Linked DNA regions of Macaca mulatta. The protein of the gene in region 2 purifies or fractionates together with the protein of the main gene of each other region. This does not show direct contact. Links are inferred from orthologs where the notes say so. Each region holds a gene or a part of one and is shown on either strand. Other genes may lie near its edges.

Evidence for each region. Proteins that work in one complex are often made in the same cells at the same time.
Region 1: the proteins of TRIM21 (region 2) and GMPS purify together in Homo sapiens (affinity purification with western blotting; 3 studies listed by BioGRID). This does not show direct contact. The link is inferred for Macaca mulatta from reciprocal best matches to the Homo sapiens genes TRIM21 and GMPS.

What each region holds. Positions count from the first base shown.
Region 1 is NC_133407.1:59,118,524-59,126,309, forward strand, and holds part of GMPS (GMP synthase [glutamine-hydrolyzing]), read left to right. Parts: intron 1-1,300; coding exon 1,301-1,416; intron 1,417-5,093; coding exon 5,094-5,224; intron 5,225-6,513; coding exon 6,514-6,686; intron 6,687-7,764; coding exon 7,765-7,786. UniProt on the Homo sapiens protein: Catalyzes the conversion of xanthine monophosphate (XMP) to GMP in the presence of glutamine and ATP through an adenyl-XMP intermediate.
Region 2 is NC_133419.1:71,536,719-71,544,900, forward strand, and holds part of TRIM21 (E3 ubiquitin-protein ligase TRIM21), read left to right. Parts: intron 1-3,123; 5' UTR 3,124-3,159; coding exon 3,160-3,567; intron 3,568-3,842; coding exon 3,843-3,938; intron 3,939-5,051; coding exon 5,052-5,282; intron 5,283-6,592; coding exon 6,593-6,615; intron 6,616-7,323; coding exon 7,324-7,424; intron 7,425-7,718; coding exon 7,719-8,182. UniProt on the Homo sapiens protein: E3 ubiquitin-protein ligase whose activity is dependent on E2 enzymes, UBE2D1, UBE2D2, UBE2E1 and UBE2E2.

The DNA.
Region 1 (7,786 bases), on a different chromosome or scaffold from region 2:
ATTTTATACTTATTTATATAAGATGCTATCACATTAGCGTTCACATATGTTGAATTTTCGCGTTCTTAGTACCTGCCACTCTGGGCATTAGGTACTTCTCTAATCTGTTACTTTTTAAAATGCTTTTCATAAAAAAAGCAAATTACTTGGATTAAACAGGACACAGGAAAAGAGAATAAATTATAATCAGTTTTATTTACTTATTTTAAAATTAGCTTTTAAGCTGATACTTAAACACATTGATAAGTAAATGTTTATGAATCGTTTTTGTCTCCCACTTAAGAATTCTTTATCCACTCAAAAAACATGGGCAGATGTTGCTTGCCAAATTACAATTTTTCATAATTTTATTTATTTATTTTTGAAATGGGGTCTTACTCTGTTGCCCAGGCTAGCGTACAGTGGTATGATCACTGCTCACTATAGCCTCGACCTCCTTGGGCTCATGTGATCCTCCCACCTCAGCTTCCTGAGTAGCGGGAACTACAGGTACATGCCACCACACTGCCCAGCTAAGTTTTGTATATTTTGTAGAGACAGGGTGTTGCCATGTTGTCCAGGCTGGTCTCAAACTTCTGGGCTCCACTGACCCACCCACCTCGCCCTCCCAAAGTGCTAGAATTATAGGTGTGAGCTTCTGTACCTGGCCTTGTCTGCCAAATTATCCACAGTTAGCAGGTAATGGGAATGTTGAATAAATTCTTTTTTTTTTTTTTTTTTTTTTTTTTGAGACAGAGTTTCGCTCTGTCACCCAGCCTGGAGTGCAGTGACGTGATCTCTCAACTCACTGCAGCCTCCGCCTCCCAGGATCAAGCGATTATCCTGCCTCAGCCTCCCAAGTGGCTGGGACTACAGGTTCATGCCACCATGCCCAGCTAATTTTTATATTTTTAGTACAGACGGGGTTTCATCATGTTGGCCAGGCTGGTCTTGAACTCCTGACCTCAGGTGATCTGCCCACCTCGGCCTCCCAAAGTGCTGGGATTACAGGCATTAGCCACTGTGCTCAGCCTAAATTCTTGATATTACCATGATACCTTATGTATGTCTTAACTGATTCAGGTAGGATTTAATATGGGATTTTAATTTGGAATTTATTCATACCATTAAAGAAACATCTAGTATATACTTTCATTCAGATTTCAAAAAAACTATTAATAGTGTCACCATGCATAAGATATTTTTCAATGCATCTTTTCTTTTAAAAAAAAACAGCATTGTCAAGTTAAACCGAGTTTAAGTTTAAAGTCAAGTTAAACTTTTGACTGTTAAAAATTACTGATTATCTTTTTATTTTCAGGGTGACTGTCGTTCCTACAGTTACGTGTGTGGAATCTCCAGTAAAGATGAACCTGACTGGGAATCACTTATTTTTCTGGCTAGGCTTATACCTCGCATGTGTCACAACGTTAACAGGTGTGTTTCACAGGAGCTAGGGTGGGGACATGTGTAATGGAAGGATGTGCTTCTTAAGGGCTTTCCATTAATGAAAGACCAAAAGGCTCAAATGTAGATATAGGTAGGTCATGTAGATAAGAGTAAATGGCTGTGTTTGCAATTCAAATATGCACATAGGTCGCAGTTAAGTAGATATGTAATATTATCTTGTGTTTTGACTCTTCATCACAATGTAATCATCTGTTAAAAATTATTTAAAGGAGAAAGATTTTTTATTTTAGTGTAAAATATTAAAGGCAGCTGTAAAACATTATCTTCTACATTAGTGGCTTATATTAGCTATTGGTTTTATGGTGACATGTTTTATTCCAGAAGGACTGAAAAAATGTATGTCCAGGTTACAGAATTACAAATAAAGTAACACACACACACACCCACCCACCCACCCCTACAAAACAACCAACCACCCACCCCGCAAACAAAAATGGAGACTTGGTTAATTTAGTAGTAACCCCAAGGAAAAAATCGAAGAAATGGGCATGTGCCAGATAGCATTAAAATAGTTACATTTAAATATATAATTTACATTTTAGGTTAATTTTCCTTTAATTTGCATATTAATTTCTTACATTGGATATATCAACAGCTGATTTATAATCTATTTCTAATACTCAATTTCATCATACCATATATAGTTTAAAAATTCACTTATTTTGTACTAGATTGCTAATTAAATTTTCTTATTTCACGGTTATTCTCTCTCTTCAATTTTCTTCATGGGTGTTAGGCAGTTAACAACCAAAAAGAATTACTTGAGATTTCATTTTGCTCAAATTGCTGCAGAAATCAGAAGCTTACCTTTTAATGTTAACCTAGCAGAGTCTGTATAGTTAGAGATAAGGAGTTACAGGGAAGCCGTGTTTTTACCGATGGGAACATGCTCATTCAAAAGCTTACTCAAATGAACTGAAGACCCCCAAATACAGAAGCATCTTTCATATGCTGAAAAATGGAATTATTAATGTCTTCAATAATGGGGGCCAGGCATGGTGGATCACTTGAGCTTAGGAGTTTGAGAACAGCCTGGACAACATGGTGAAACTCCATCTCTACAAAAAATACAAAAATTAGCCAGACATGGTGGTGTGTGCCTGTAGTCCCAGCTACTTGAGAGTCTGAGGTGGGAGGATCGCGTGAGTCTGGGAGGTTGCCTTGAGCCAAAATCGTGCCACTGCAATCCAGCCTGGGCAGCAGAGTGAAACCCTTTCTCAAAAACAAAACAAACAAAAAAACTTCAATAATGATAAATTTTTAATTGCCTATTTTGAGTGGACATAATTGTCTTGGTTAGAACAGTGGCTCATAATTTGCCTATCACAGAGAAAATTTCCCTAAATTGAACTGCACACTTTTACTGTATAATTAGTGTATTTCTTCATTCACAGCATTCTTACAGTTTTATCTCCTTTTTCTTTTGCCGAAGGGCACACATCCTTATTTAAACTTTATGTTTATATTCCAGTTTCTCTCTCTTTTCCCTATTTGTCTCTTCTTCCTTCCTCCCTTCTCAAAAAAGAAAAAAATAAAAAGCCTAACAATCAGCAAACAAAAAACTAGATTTTCCCAGCAAGCTCTTAAAAGAATCTTGGTGAACTTGGCCAGGCACGGTGGCTCACGCCTGTGATCCCAGCACTTTGGGAGGGCGAGGCAGGAGGATCACGAGGTCAGGAAATCGAGACCATCCTGACTAACACAGCGAAACCCCGTCTCTACTAAAAATAAAAAAAAAATTAGCTGGGCGTGGTGGCGGGCACCTGTAGTCCCAGCTACTCGGGAGGCTGAGGCAGGAGAATGGCGTGAACCCAGGAGGCAGAGCTTGCAGTGAGCCGAGATCACACCACTGCACTCCAGCCTGGGCGACAGAGCGAGACTCCGTCTCAAAAAAAAGAGATCTTGGTGAACTTTAGATTTCTTTGCCGGGGTCTTTTTGGGGAATTGGAGTTTTAAAATATTCTTCCATGTTTGCCAGTTTTTTTCCTAATTTGGATGAGGGAATCTTTGTACAGGAAGGGACTGTTCCAGTTTTACTGTCATATATAGTGTGGGTAAATACCTGTGCCAGTACACTCTAGTGATTTTGTATGTAAGAAGTGAGAAGGTTTAAAAAGCAGGTTCATGGTATTCTCTTAACTTTTTCCTCTAAAGATCTTTTATGAGCTTTAGGAACTATATTGTTTAGAAAAAGTATAACTTACTGTCTATGCATGGGATAAAAAGCTTGCTTCTGTTGTAGTATGTTTGGAAGGAGACAATAAAGTCGGTGGTGGTGTCAGTGGTTTTGTGCTAATATGGTTTTCTTTTGTGTATTTTACCTAAGTACATATTAAGAAAAAAAGAAAAAACATTAAACTTTACCATGATAGTTGCCAGGGAGTTTTATTTTCTTTGCTAAAATCATGACTGATGAAAAGTGACAATTGTCTACTGGCTGGAGTAGGGAGAACTAGCTAAGTGGCACTCATATCTTTACCCTGATTCCCTCTTGTTTTCTGGGTGAAGATTGTGAAACAGATCCCTTCAAACCAATGGCCAGCTACACACTTCAAGTTGTTAAAATTGTCTGATTCTGATTTCCTCAAGTTATGTTCCAAACTGTACTCTCATTGACTGTCATTAACATGAAGATATTTGTGGTATATCTTCATGTCTTTCAAACAGACATTTATATAAAACAGTAATGAATTTTTTTTTGGAAGGAAGTAGTAGGATACTAAGTCCTATTTCAATGGCCCTTTTAATGAAGTGCAAATGAGAATCTCTCTAGGATCATTGTTTCTCAAGTAGATAAAAAGATGAGTTTACTAATTTTGGGAAATTCACTATAGTTTCCTCTTGGAGATTTCCAGTGCATGTTAGCATAGTATATTAATAGTTTCTGAAGTCTTGTCATAAAGGCACCTATTTTTAAATTTTAACTATGTGTATTTGTTTCCTAGGACCACCCATAACAAATTACCAGAAACTGGGAGGCTTAAAACAACAGACATTTATTCTCTCACAGTTTAGGAGGCCAGAAGTCTGAATTCAGTGTTGGCGAGGTCATATTCTCTCTGAAGACTCTAGTGGAGGATCCTTCCTCGCTTCTTCCTACTATTGGATGGTTGCTAACAATGCTTGGCTTGTGGCAGCATAATCCAGTCAGTCTTTGTGTTCACATGATCCTCATTCCCCTATGTGTGTCTGTGTATCCAAATTTTCCGGTACTTGAAAGGATACCAGTCATTGGATTAGAGCCTATCCTAATCCAGTATTACTTCATTTTAACTTGATTACATTTGCAGAGACCCTTTTTCTCCCCAGAGATTCTGGGTGGACATGAAGTTTTGGGGATACTCTTTGACCCAGTACGTTAAGTGAAAAGAGAGTCGTAATAATCACTTATATCTTTGCACATTCTGAGATACAGAATGTTCCAGAGAACACACTTTGAGGAAAGCACATAGAACACAGACCTTCCTATAATCTTACATGTTGTCCTATCCATTTGAGGAGATGAAGTGGGCAGGAGAAGGGCCTAAAACTAAGTGGGAAATGGAAAGAATGTTACTGTTCTAAGTGCCTTGCTTCTCATACTGAAATGTAATTTCTACATTTAAAATGTAATTGCTCTATTATTTTTACCTCTTTGTTTCCAGAGTTGTTTATATATTTGGCCCACCAGTTAAAGAACCTCCTACAGATGTTACTCCCACTTTCTTGACAACAGGGGTGCTCAGTACTTTACGCCAAGCAGATTTTGAGGCCCATAACATTCTCAGGGAGTCTGGTAAGTTGCTCATGTTTTTGATCACTACCCTCTGAAACTAGTTTTTGGAAGCTTGACATTAAGAGTAGGAGGATGTAGCTTTTGCTTTTTAGATGCTTTTGTTTTTATTATTTAAATCTTTGAATGTTCTATGATGTTGCTTTTTTTTTTTTTTGAGACAGAGTCTGTCTTGCTGTGTCACCTAGGCTGAAGTGCAGTGGCACAATCTTGGTTCACTTCAGCCTCCGCCTCCTGTTACAAGTGATTCTCCTGCCTCAGTCTCCTGAGTAACTGGGATTACAGGCGCCCGCTACCACACCTGGCTATTTTTTTGCAGTTTTAGTAGAGATGGGGTTTTTGCCGTTTTGGCCAGGCTGATCTCGAACTCCTGACCTCAGGTGATAAGGTCAGGAGTCAGGTGAGGCCAGGCTTGGCCTCCCAGAGTGTTGGGATTACAGGTGTGAGCCACTGCACCTAGCCTATAATGTTGCTTCTAAATAAAATATATTCACCTTTGTGGCAATTTGTGGGTATGCACAGAGCAGCAGAAAATTTGAATTTCCAGACTTAGATGTTCCCAGCTGAGTTTGAACAAGGTGACACTGTGCCTTCTTGTTCCAGCGCTCATAAGGTGAACAAGTCTTTTTCATGGTCTCCTTGATGAAATATCTTTTGCATTTTTATGCTTTTTGTTAGTGATTTTGCTGTTTAAAATGGATCTCAAGTATAGTGCTGAAGTGCTGTCTGGGTTCCTAAGCACAGGAATGCTGTGATGTACCTTACAGAGAAAATCTGTGTGTTAGATAAACTTCATTCAGGCATGAGTTAAAGAGCTGTTGATTTTGAGTTCAGTATGAATGAATCTATAATAAATATTAAATACAGTGTCTTAAATCAGAAACATACATAAAACAAGGTTATATATTAATCAGTTGATGAAAATATTGCAACCAGAGGCTTGCAGGGACCTAACCCTCCATATCCCCTGGGAGAAATGGTTCAATATTCACTAATTCATTGTTTGCAGTGTAGAATATAACTATACTGCAAATTATAATAGAGAATAATGAGAATGGACTCTTTCTATAGCACATCAGTGAAACATCACTGATGTGATCAAATTCTGTTTTTTGCATTTGTGGTTGAGTCCAATTAAAATGCTCTGCGAGTAGCTAGAATCAATGCATGATGACAGTCTTAACTATACTGTGTGTGTATATGTGATTTCAGATATTGTCTGGGAGGATTTAATTGAACTGAGAGTGCTTTTCTATGGTGCGGTGATTGGTTCTACATGTACCTTTCTCTAGGGTATGCTGGGAAAATCAGCCAGATGCCGGTGATTTTGACACCATTACATTTTGATCGGGACCCACTTCAAAAGCAGCCTTCATGCCAGAGATCTGTGGTTATTCGAACCTTTATTACTAGTGACTTCATGACTGGTATACCTGCAACACCTGGCAATGAGATCCCTGTAGAGGTAATTTATATATTTTTTTCTAATGCATGTTCTCAGTGCCTCTTACATTTTATAATACAGTGAATGGAATAGGCTGTGCCAGTGCTGTATTTCTGATGTTGGTTTTCTGTTCATAAGATAGGCCTTTTTTTTTTTTTTTTTTTTTTTTTAATTTTCACATATTTGATTAATACACTGGGGCAGAAAAAGGCCTTAAGTTATAAATGCTCTCCAAATGTCTGATTACTATATAAACAGTAATCAATTATAATAATTTTATCTAATCCTGCCAGTTTCTACTTTACAAATAGTATTCCCCAAATAAAGAAGAAAACTCTAGGAGTGAAGAAGAGTTAGTTAGAAATAAGGATGCAATTTGATAGCTTTATGGCCAGACACCCAAGAATTGCCTAAATATTCTCCCTACTACCAATTCCAACTCAATTTTTGATCCTTCTTTGTTTTCACCAGAACATTCCAAAGGAGCTACTTGCATAATAGCAAGTGAAAATCAAAGTGAGACTCTGTCTCACAGTTGGGCCGCTGCCTCCAGTGCACTAACACGAGGCTGTGGTTGTAGCTAGGTAGATGGGTTGGGGAATGTGGCTTAGTTAGTTTTCTCTTAGACTCAAATTTGCCAAATTTGACAAGTGAGCAGGCTATCCTCTCTTCCTGTATACTTGATAATGATTAATGGCCCTTAGAGTTGTATGTTTAAGCTGCAGATAATTTGCAGAGCATTGGCTGAAACACATAAAATCACATGCCTGGATGCCACAGCAATGTCAAATCACTGTATGTTCTTAAGCATTTGTTGTGGCTCAGTCACAAACACAAATTGCAGACTAGCACCTGTTTGTGGATCACACTTTGAGTAGTACTGAGTTTAAGTCACTAATATTTTAAACCTTAATAACTTAAACCTATCCCTGCAGAGGGGAATAGGTTCATTCTATAAGATTAATCGGAAACCATCCCATATACGTGGAGGACAATAGTGAAAATAGTCAACTTTTAATTTTAAATTAGAAATGTAAGCCCTCTAGGACTGTTGGACATGCAGTGGATGCTGACTTTTCTCTGTAATTTTTTTTAATAGGTGGTATTAAAGATGGTCACTG
Region 2 (8,182 bases):
AGTCTCCATCCTTGAGCCGGTCCCATTTGCCCCTTCTCCCACCAGGGATCCCTCAACCCAAGACCAGCTGTGCTTCCGGCGCTGGCCCCCTACCTGGGAGGAGGCTGGGGTGTGGACATGACTGCCGAGTTACCCAGAAGGGGAAGGGACCCGGCTGCCCCCTACCTGGGAGGAGGCTGGGTTGTGGACGTGACTGCCGAGTTACCCAGAAGGGGAAGGGGCCCGGCTGCCCCGATGCTGGCACGTGACCTGGGATGAAGGCTGGGTGCGGCTGGGAGAGCCAGGACTACAGCCTAGCCAGGACGGGTAGGGAGCTCATGTCGGGGAGGTCTGCAATTCTGGAGATTCCCAGGTCCAAAAGTCCTCCAGAGGTGAGAGGGGAAGGCTGTTTAGGATGTTCAACCAGAAATGTATAGGCCTTCAAAATTATTCTTTGCCCTAGAATAAGTGTTGTCAGGAACTAAACTAAGTTTGGAGCAGCTGAGAAAAGAGCCCAGGGAGTGCTGGCCACAGTTCCTGTTGCTCTGTGTGTATACATACATATACACATGCTTGTGTATATACATATACACCTACATACCTATATACACCTGACATCTGCTGTTATAGGAAGTATTAATGAAGATATATTCAAAGCATGAAGTATGTCTGGCACATGGAAGGTACATGGTAAAAAGTAGCTATAATTTCTCAGCAGCATGGAGGCCTGTTGGTACCAGACAGGAGATGAATGAGCACTGAGGGTTTAAGCAGGAATGGACATGATGAGAGTAGAACTGTCAACAGCTTTATGAGGTTCTTGCCAATTTTCACTCCCTCTTTTAGGGACTTAGTGTCTCCTTCTGTCTCACTGGATCAATGGACCAACAATGGAGGAGTTCTTGTTATTCAGAACAAGAATAAACTTACTCAACAAACTATTTGATCGGTGTAAAAGTAATTACTGTTTTTGACATTAATTGTTTTGCCATTAATTTTATGCCTTTTATTTATTTATTTATTTATTTATTGAGAGGAAGTCTCACTCTGTTGCCCAGGCTGGAGTGCAATGGCAGAATCTCGGCTCACTGTAACCTCTGCCTCCCAGGTTTAAGCAATTCTGCTGCCTCAGCCTCCTGAGTAGCTGGGATTACAAGCGCCCACCACCACTCCCAGCTAATTTTTGTATCTTTCGTAGAGACGGAGTTTTACCATATTGGTCAGGCTGGTCTTGAACTGAACTCCTGACCTAAGGTGATCCACCCACCTCAGCCTCCCAAAGTGCTGGGGTTGCAGGTATGAGCCGCCGTGCCTGACTCATTATTTTTATTTTTCTTTTTTATTTTCCTTTGTGTCATTTTGTTTTTCTTCTTTTTTTAGTTTATTTTTAACTTTTGTGGGCACATAGTAGGTATATTTATGGGGTATATGGAATATTTTGATACAGGTATACAATGTGTCATAATCACATCCGGGTAAATAGGGCATCCATCACCTCAAGCATTGATCATCTGTGATACAAACTATGCAATTATACTCTTAGTTTTCAGTGTACAATTAAATTATTGACTATAGTCACTCTATCGTGCTATCAAATACTAGATCTAATTCACTCCACTTTTGTACTCATTAACCATCCCACCTTCCCCAACACACACACACCCTCCCTGCTACTCTTCCCAGCCTCTGGTAACCATCTTTCTATTTTATCTAACTCCATGAGTTCAATTGTTTTAATTTTTAGCTTCTACAAATGAGTGAGAACATACAATGTTTGTCTTTTGGTGCCTAGCTTATTTCACTTAACATAATGACCTCCAGTTCCATTCATGTTGTTGTGAATGACAGGATCTCATTATATTTTATGACTGAATAGTACTCCATTGTGCATATGTACCACATTTTCTTTATCCATTTATCTGTTGATGGACACTTAGATTGCTTCCAAATCTTGGCTATTGTGAAACATGCTGCAGTAAACGTGGGAATGTAGATATCTCTTTGATATACTGATTTCCTTTCTTTGGGGTATATACTAGCAGTGGGATTGCTGGATCATATGGTAGCCCTATTTTCAGTTTTTTGAAGAACCTCCAAACTGTTCCCTGTAGTGATTGTACTAATTTACCTTCCTACCAATAGCGCGTGAGTGTACCCTTTTCTCCACACCCTCCCCAGCATTTGTTATAGCCTGTCTTTTGGATAAAAGGCATTTTAACTGAGATGAGATTATATCTCATTGTAGTTTTGATTTGCATTTTTCCGATAATGATGTTGAACAACTGTTCATATGCCTGTTTGTCATTTGTGTGTCTTCTTTTGAGAAATGTCTATTCATATCTTTTGTCCATTTTTGAATCAGATTATTATTTTTTTTCCTATAGAGTGGTTTGAGTTCCTTATATATTCTGGTTATTCACCTTTTGTCAGATGGATAGTTTGCAAATTTTTACTCCAATTCTGTGGGTTGTCTCTTCACTTTGTGGATTGTTTCCTTTGCTGTGCAGCGCCTTTTCAACATGATGTGATCCCATTTGTCCAAGTTTGCTTTGGCTGCCTGTGCTTGTGGGGTATTTGAAAGAAATCTTTGCCCAGTCCAATGTCCTGGAGAGTTTTCCCAATGTTTTCTTGTAATAGTTTAATAGTTTGAGCCCTTAGATTTAAGTCTTTAATCCATTTTGATTTGATTTCTGTATATGGTGAGATATAGGGGTGTAGTTTCATTCTTCTGCACGTGGATATCCAGTTTTCCCAGCAGCATTTTTTGAAGAGACTGTCCTTTCCTCATTGTATGTTCTTGGTACCTTTGTTGAAAATGAGCTCACTGTGGATGTACGGATTTGTTCTGGGTTCTTTATTCTACTGGTCTATGTGTCTGTTTTTATGCCAGTACCATGCTGTTTGGGTTACTTTAGCTCTACAGTATAATTTGACATCAGATGATGTGATTCCTCCAGTTTTGTTCTTTTTGCTCAGGATAGCTTTGGCTATTCTGAGTCTTTTGTAATTCCATATAAATTTTAGGATTTTTTTTCCTATTTTTGTGAAGAATGTCATTGGTATTTTGATAGGGATTATGTTGACTTTTTGTTTTTCTTACACAGACTTTCTCATATTTTCTTTTCCCTTTCTTTTTCCTCCCAGCCAGCCCTACTAAAGGGCTTAACAGTACGCTTGACAATGGCTTCAGCAGCACGCTTGACAATGATGTGGGAGGAGGTCACGTGCCCTATCTGCCTGGACCCCTTCGTGGAGCCTGTGAGCATCGAGTGTGGCCACAGCTTCTGCCAGGAATGCATCTCTCGGGTTGGGAAAGATGGGGGCAGCGTCTGTCCTGTGTGCCGGCAGCACTTTCTGCTCAGGAATCTCCGCCCCAATCGACAACTAGCCAACATGGTGGACAACCTTAGAGAAATCAGCCAGGAAGCCAGAGAGGGTGCACAGGAGGAACAGTGTGCAGTGCATGGAGAGAGACTTCACCTGTTCTGTGAGAAAGATGGGAAGGCCCTTTGCTGGGTGTGTGCCCAATCTCGGAAACACCGTGACCACACCATGGTCCCTCTTGAGGAGGCTGCACAGGAGTACCAGGTGAGGCCTTAGAGACACAAACAGGAGGAAAGAAGATGGGCCCTGGTGAGTGCTTTGCTTTCAGAGCAGGGAATGGGAGAGGACCACCTCTGGATTGGAGAAGTTAGAGAAAGGAGGAGTTTACCTCTCTCCATGTCTAATGTAGAAGGAGAATTATAAGCTAAACCCAACCTCATTCTCCAGGCGTAGGCGATATGCATGAGAAAATGCTGCAAGGATTACCCCACCCTATTACTTGGTTTGCATGGGGACTAATATGCTGTCTTTCTCTGCAGGAGAAGCTCCAGGTGGCATTAGGGGAACTGAGAAGAAAGCAGGAGTTGGCTGAGAAGTTGGAAGTGGAAATTGCAATGAAGAGAGCAGACTGGAAGGCAAGAATGACATCCTGAAGGGGATCTTAGGCTAGAAGGTTGGGCAGGGTCCAGGGTCCTCAACTCACAGCCTTAACTGTAGCTGTGCCTGTCTGAGCTGTGATAGAGTTGGTCCGTCTCACTCTCCAGAAAGCAGCTGCTCTCTAGGTTTACAGATAGATGGGAATAAAAATGATGCAGGTTCAAAGGGGAGCTCCCCATCAGGCCTGAAGATCAAGAATCCTGGAAGAAGGTGCTGAGAGGATCTAGCTATACCCTAAAGTTTTGAGCTCCTCTGAGTCTAGTCTCAGAGGTGTGACGGCATCAGCACCTGGATGTCTGAGACAAATATCCTAGGAGAAACCCAACTGCTAGCTAAGCCTTTCAGGAAATGACAAGGCTGTGAGGAATAGACTTAAGGAAACCATCTGACCAGGTGGTTACTTGACCATGACCAGATCTCTGGTCCCAAATATAATGAAGAATCCATGTTTGTTCTGCACTGATCATTTCCAAGGAGACGTGGAGCATGTTGGGGATGAGAGGGGAGAGGAAGGAGCCCATCCCCAGTAGATCCCAGAAAAGAAACATTTGGGATTGAGGTAGGGTGTGAGTTGGGTTGTGGTGACAAAACAGACCCTCATGTCATCGAGTGACCTTCCAGTTACTAACAGGAGATGAAAAGCAAAGAATGTCCCCAAGCCCCCTTTCCCAGGACTTGGAGGTGGTGGTGTCAGCCTGGCTTTGTGAGGTTGTTGGAGGTGGGAACAGGTGTTTTTTTTCTCAGTAACTCACTGAGACAGGAAGACACAGGGGCACATTTGAGTGGTGACTGGGTTTGGAAGAGAGGTTGGAAAAAGTCCCCAATGCCGTATATCCGTGTAGCTGTGGTTGTAGGCCAGCTACAATGTGCCCTCACCAAGTCCATTCCCCTCACTGTCCCGGAAACTTCACCTACCTCCCAAGCAAAATTGTGTGTGTGTGTGTGCACATGCTTGTGTGTGTGTGCGTGTGTTTTCCCAGACAACACCAGAGTGGAGTCTTTGGGGAATAGGAATAGGTACCAATACCTCCATTCCCAAAGTTTGGGAGCTTTTCATAAAAACCACCTCTCTCTTTCCCTTGACACTAAAGAAAACGGTGGAGACACAGAAATGTAGGATTCACGCAGAGTTTGTGCAGCAAAAAAACTTCCTGGTTGAAGAAGAACAGAGGCAGCTGCAGGAGCTGGAGAAGGATGAGAGGGAGCAGCTGAGAATCCTAGGGGAGAAAGAGGCCGAACTGGCCCAACAGAGCCAGGCCCTGCAGGAGCTCATCTCAGAGCTAGAGAGAAGGCGCCAGGGCTCAGCACTGGAACTGCTGCAGGTGAGACAGGGAGGGGTTCCCTTCTACTATTCCGGGAATAACTGAAAAAGACCAGAGCTATCTGGAACTGCCATTCGAATAAATGGACACCTGGTCCCTGGAATGTTCTTAAATAAAGTAGAATTCAAACCCACGAATGGTTTGCATTCAAGGCACAAAGTAAAGATGAAAATAAGTATAGGACCTTTTTAAAAATCAATGTATGTTGCACTTAGAATCATCTTGCATCCACCAATGATATGTTTGCCTCACTGTACGAAATGATGGACTAGATCGTCTCACAAGTCCCTTCTGTTCTAACATTCTACAGTTCTTTCTTCACCCCTGTTCACTGTGACTCAGCGTGGTCATGAGCCATTGCTTTCTGGTGTGTGCAGAAAACCTAATTGTATTGGGTTGACTTGACAGGCTCTCTTCTGCCCAAACCAGGCTTTCTTATTTATTTATTTATTTATTTATTTATTATTTATTTATTTATTTATTTTGAGATGGAGTTTCACTCTTGTTGCCCGGGCTGGAGTACAATGGCGCGGTCTTGCCTCACTGCAACCTCCACCTCCCGGGTTCAAGCGATTCTCCTGCCTCAGCCTTACATCACCACACCTGGCTAATTTTGCATCCCTAGTAGAGATGGGGTTTCTCCATGTTGGTCAGGCTGGTCTTGAACTCCCAACCTCAGACTCCCACCTCAGCCTCCCAAAGTGCTGGGATTACAGGTGTGAGCCACCATGCCTGGCCATGAACCAGGCTTTCTAACATACTTTTAACTGAGTCTAGGATCCTGCTAGCTCCCATGTAATGGCTCCCAATCCCTATAACAAAAATATTTTCAGTGATTTGGTTTCACATACAGGAAGGGGCAACATTAAGTACCCAAGGGAACTTTAACTAACCAACCTTTCCTTCCCAAGCAATGCTAGCCCACAAATGGAACAGAGCAGTTTCTAGACACCTGAACTTGGCCATTCTCTGCCTGTGATTGGGCTTAAGCCAAGCTGGGCTATGTGCCCTCTCTGCCCTCCTTTCTTTCTACCCTGGGGGAAAAAAATCTGGTCTTTGAGTCAGAGTCCTCAAACTGATAATCCTTCCCCAGCTGTAGGTCACATCCATGCTGGGCTTCTGGTTACCTCACAAGCATCCACACATCCTTTCTGCTTCAAGCTGGTCAGAATCATCTTTGGGGCTTTGGACCAGAGGAAGGAAAGGAACAGTTCCCCAGGGACCACAGATGGATCACATCACCCACAGGGCTAATGTCTCAGTGGCAATCCAGCAATCCAGAACTTACTCTGTGTCTCTTTTCTCCTCAGGAGGTGATAATTGTCCTGGAAAGGTAAGGAGGAGTTTTCTTTTTTAGAAGAGGGGCCAGCAGAAAGCATATATGCCTATGACAAAGGTTATTGAATTAGAAATACATGCACTGAAGTTTTCCCCATCTGGCTTCCTATTCTCAAAGACTTCATTGTCTATAAAATATTTTCTGGTCTCAGAAAGCTAATAAGTGGACATCTTAGTTGGTGATTGCCCACAGTAGTTGGATCGTAACATCTTCACACAGTAAAGCCCTGCCAAACAGGGAAATCCTGGGAAGTTCTGGGTCTTTCCAGAATTCAGACTACTGGAGCATGGCCAGCTGGAACTCCTTTTCTCAGTGGAATCTAACAAGTTACCTCCCAAAAAGAGCCATGAGTCAGACCCACAGTGTGGGCAAGACTCCTTGAGGTTCCTTGCAGAAGTGATTCAGCCTGTCTCAGATGGATTGCCTATAAAATGAAATTGAATGCATTTGCCAGGTGACCTCAGGCTTAGAGAGGAGAGACAGACTGTCCACATGCTGCAGCCTATAACCAGGAACTCCTGGGTAGAAACTAAATCCTGCATTGTTTGCCTCTCACACCCACCCCTGAAGACTTGAACACCAGAAGTGTTTGTAAATTTGAGTTGAATTAAATTATCAGAGTCCTCCTCCACAATGGAGGTTATAGTGTTAGGGTTTGGGATAGGAGTAAGAGACAGGAGTCTCAAACTCTCTTTCCCCCAGGAGTGAGTCCTGGAACCTGAAGGGCCTGGATATTGCCTCTCCAGAACTCAGGAGTGTGTGCCATGTGCCAGGGCTGAAGAAGATGCTGAGGACATGTGCAGGTGAGGCAAGCTCTAGGAATTTTGCGGGGGATAATGGGGGTGCAGAGTAGATCCCAGGGTCAGGGAGCCTGGATGGCAACTTGGAGGAGAGATGGAAGGTCAGAGCAGGGGGAGCAGAGATGGAGGTAAGGAAGATGGTTTCTTCAAAGGTCAGGACCAAGGCAAGAACTGGCTGATGGTCATTTCCTCACACAGGGAGGTTGACCCCTCATGCTTGCCCAAAATCCCCCCACCACAGGCACAGAGTTAGTGACTCCCCCCATGCAAGACATGACTATGGTCCTCTCTCTGCAGTCCACATCACTCTGGATCCAGACACAGCCAATCCATGGCTCATACTTTCAGAAGATCGGAGACAAGTGAGGCTTGGAGACACCCAGCAGAGCATACCTGGAAATGAAGAGAGATTTGATAGTTATCCTATGGTCCTGGGTGCCCAGCACTTCCACTCTGGAAAACATTACTGGGAGGTAGATGTGACAGGAAAGGAGGCCTGGGACCTGGGTGTCTGCAGAGACTCTGTGCGCAGGAAGGGGCACTTTTTGCTTAGTTCCAAGAGTGGCTTCTGGACAATTTGGTTGTGGAACAAACAAAAATATGAGGCTGGCACCTACCCCCAGACCCCCCTCCACCTTCAGGTGCCTCCATGCCAAATTGGGATTTTCCTGGACTATGAGGCCGGCATGGTCTCCTTCTACAACATCACTGACCATGGCTCCCTCATCTACTCCTTCTCTGAATGTGCCTTTACAGGACCT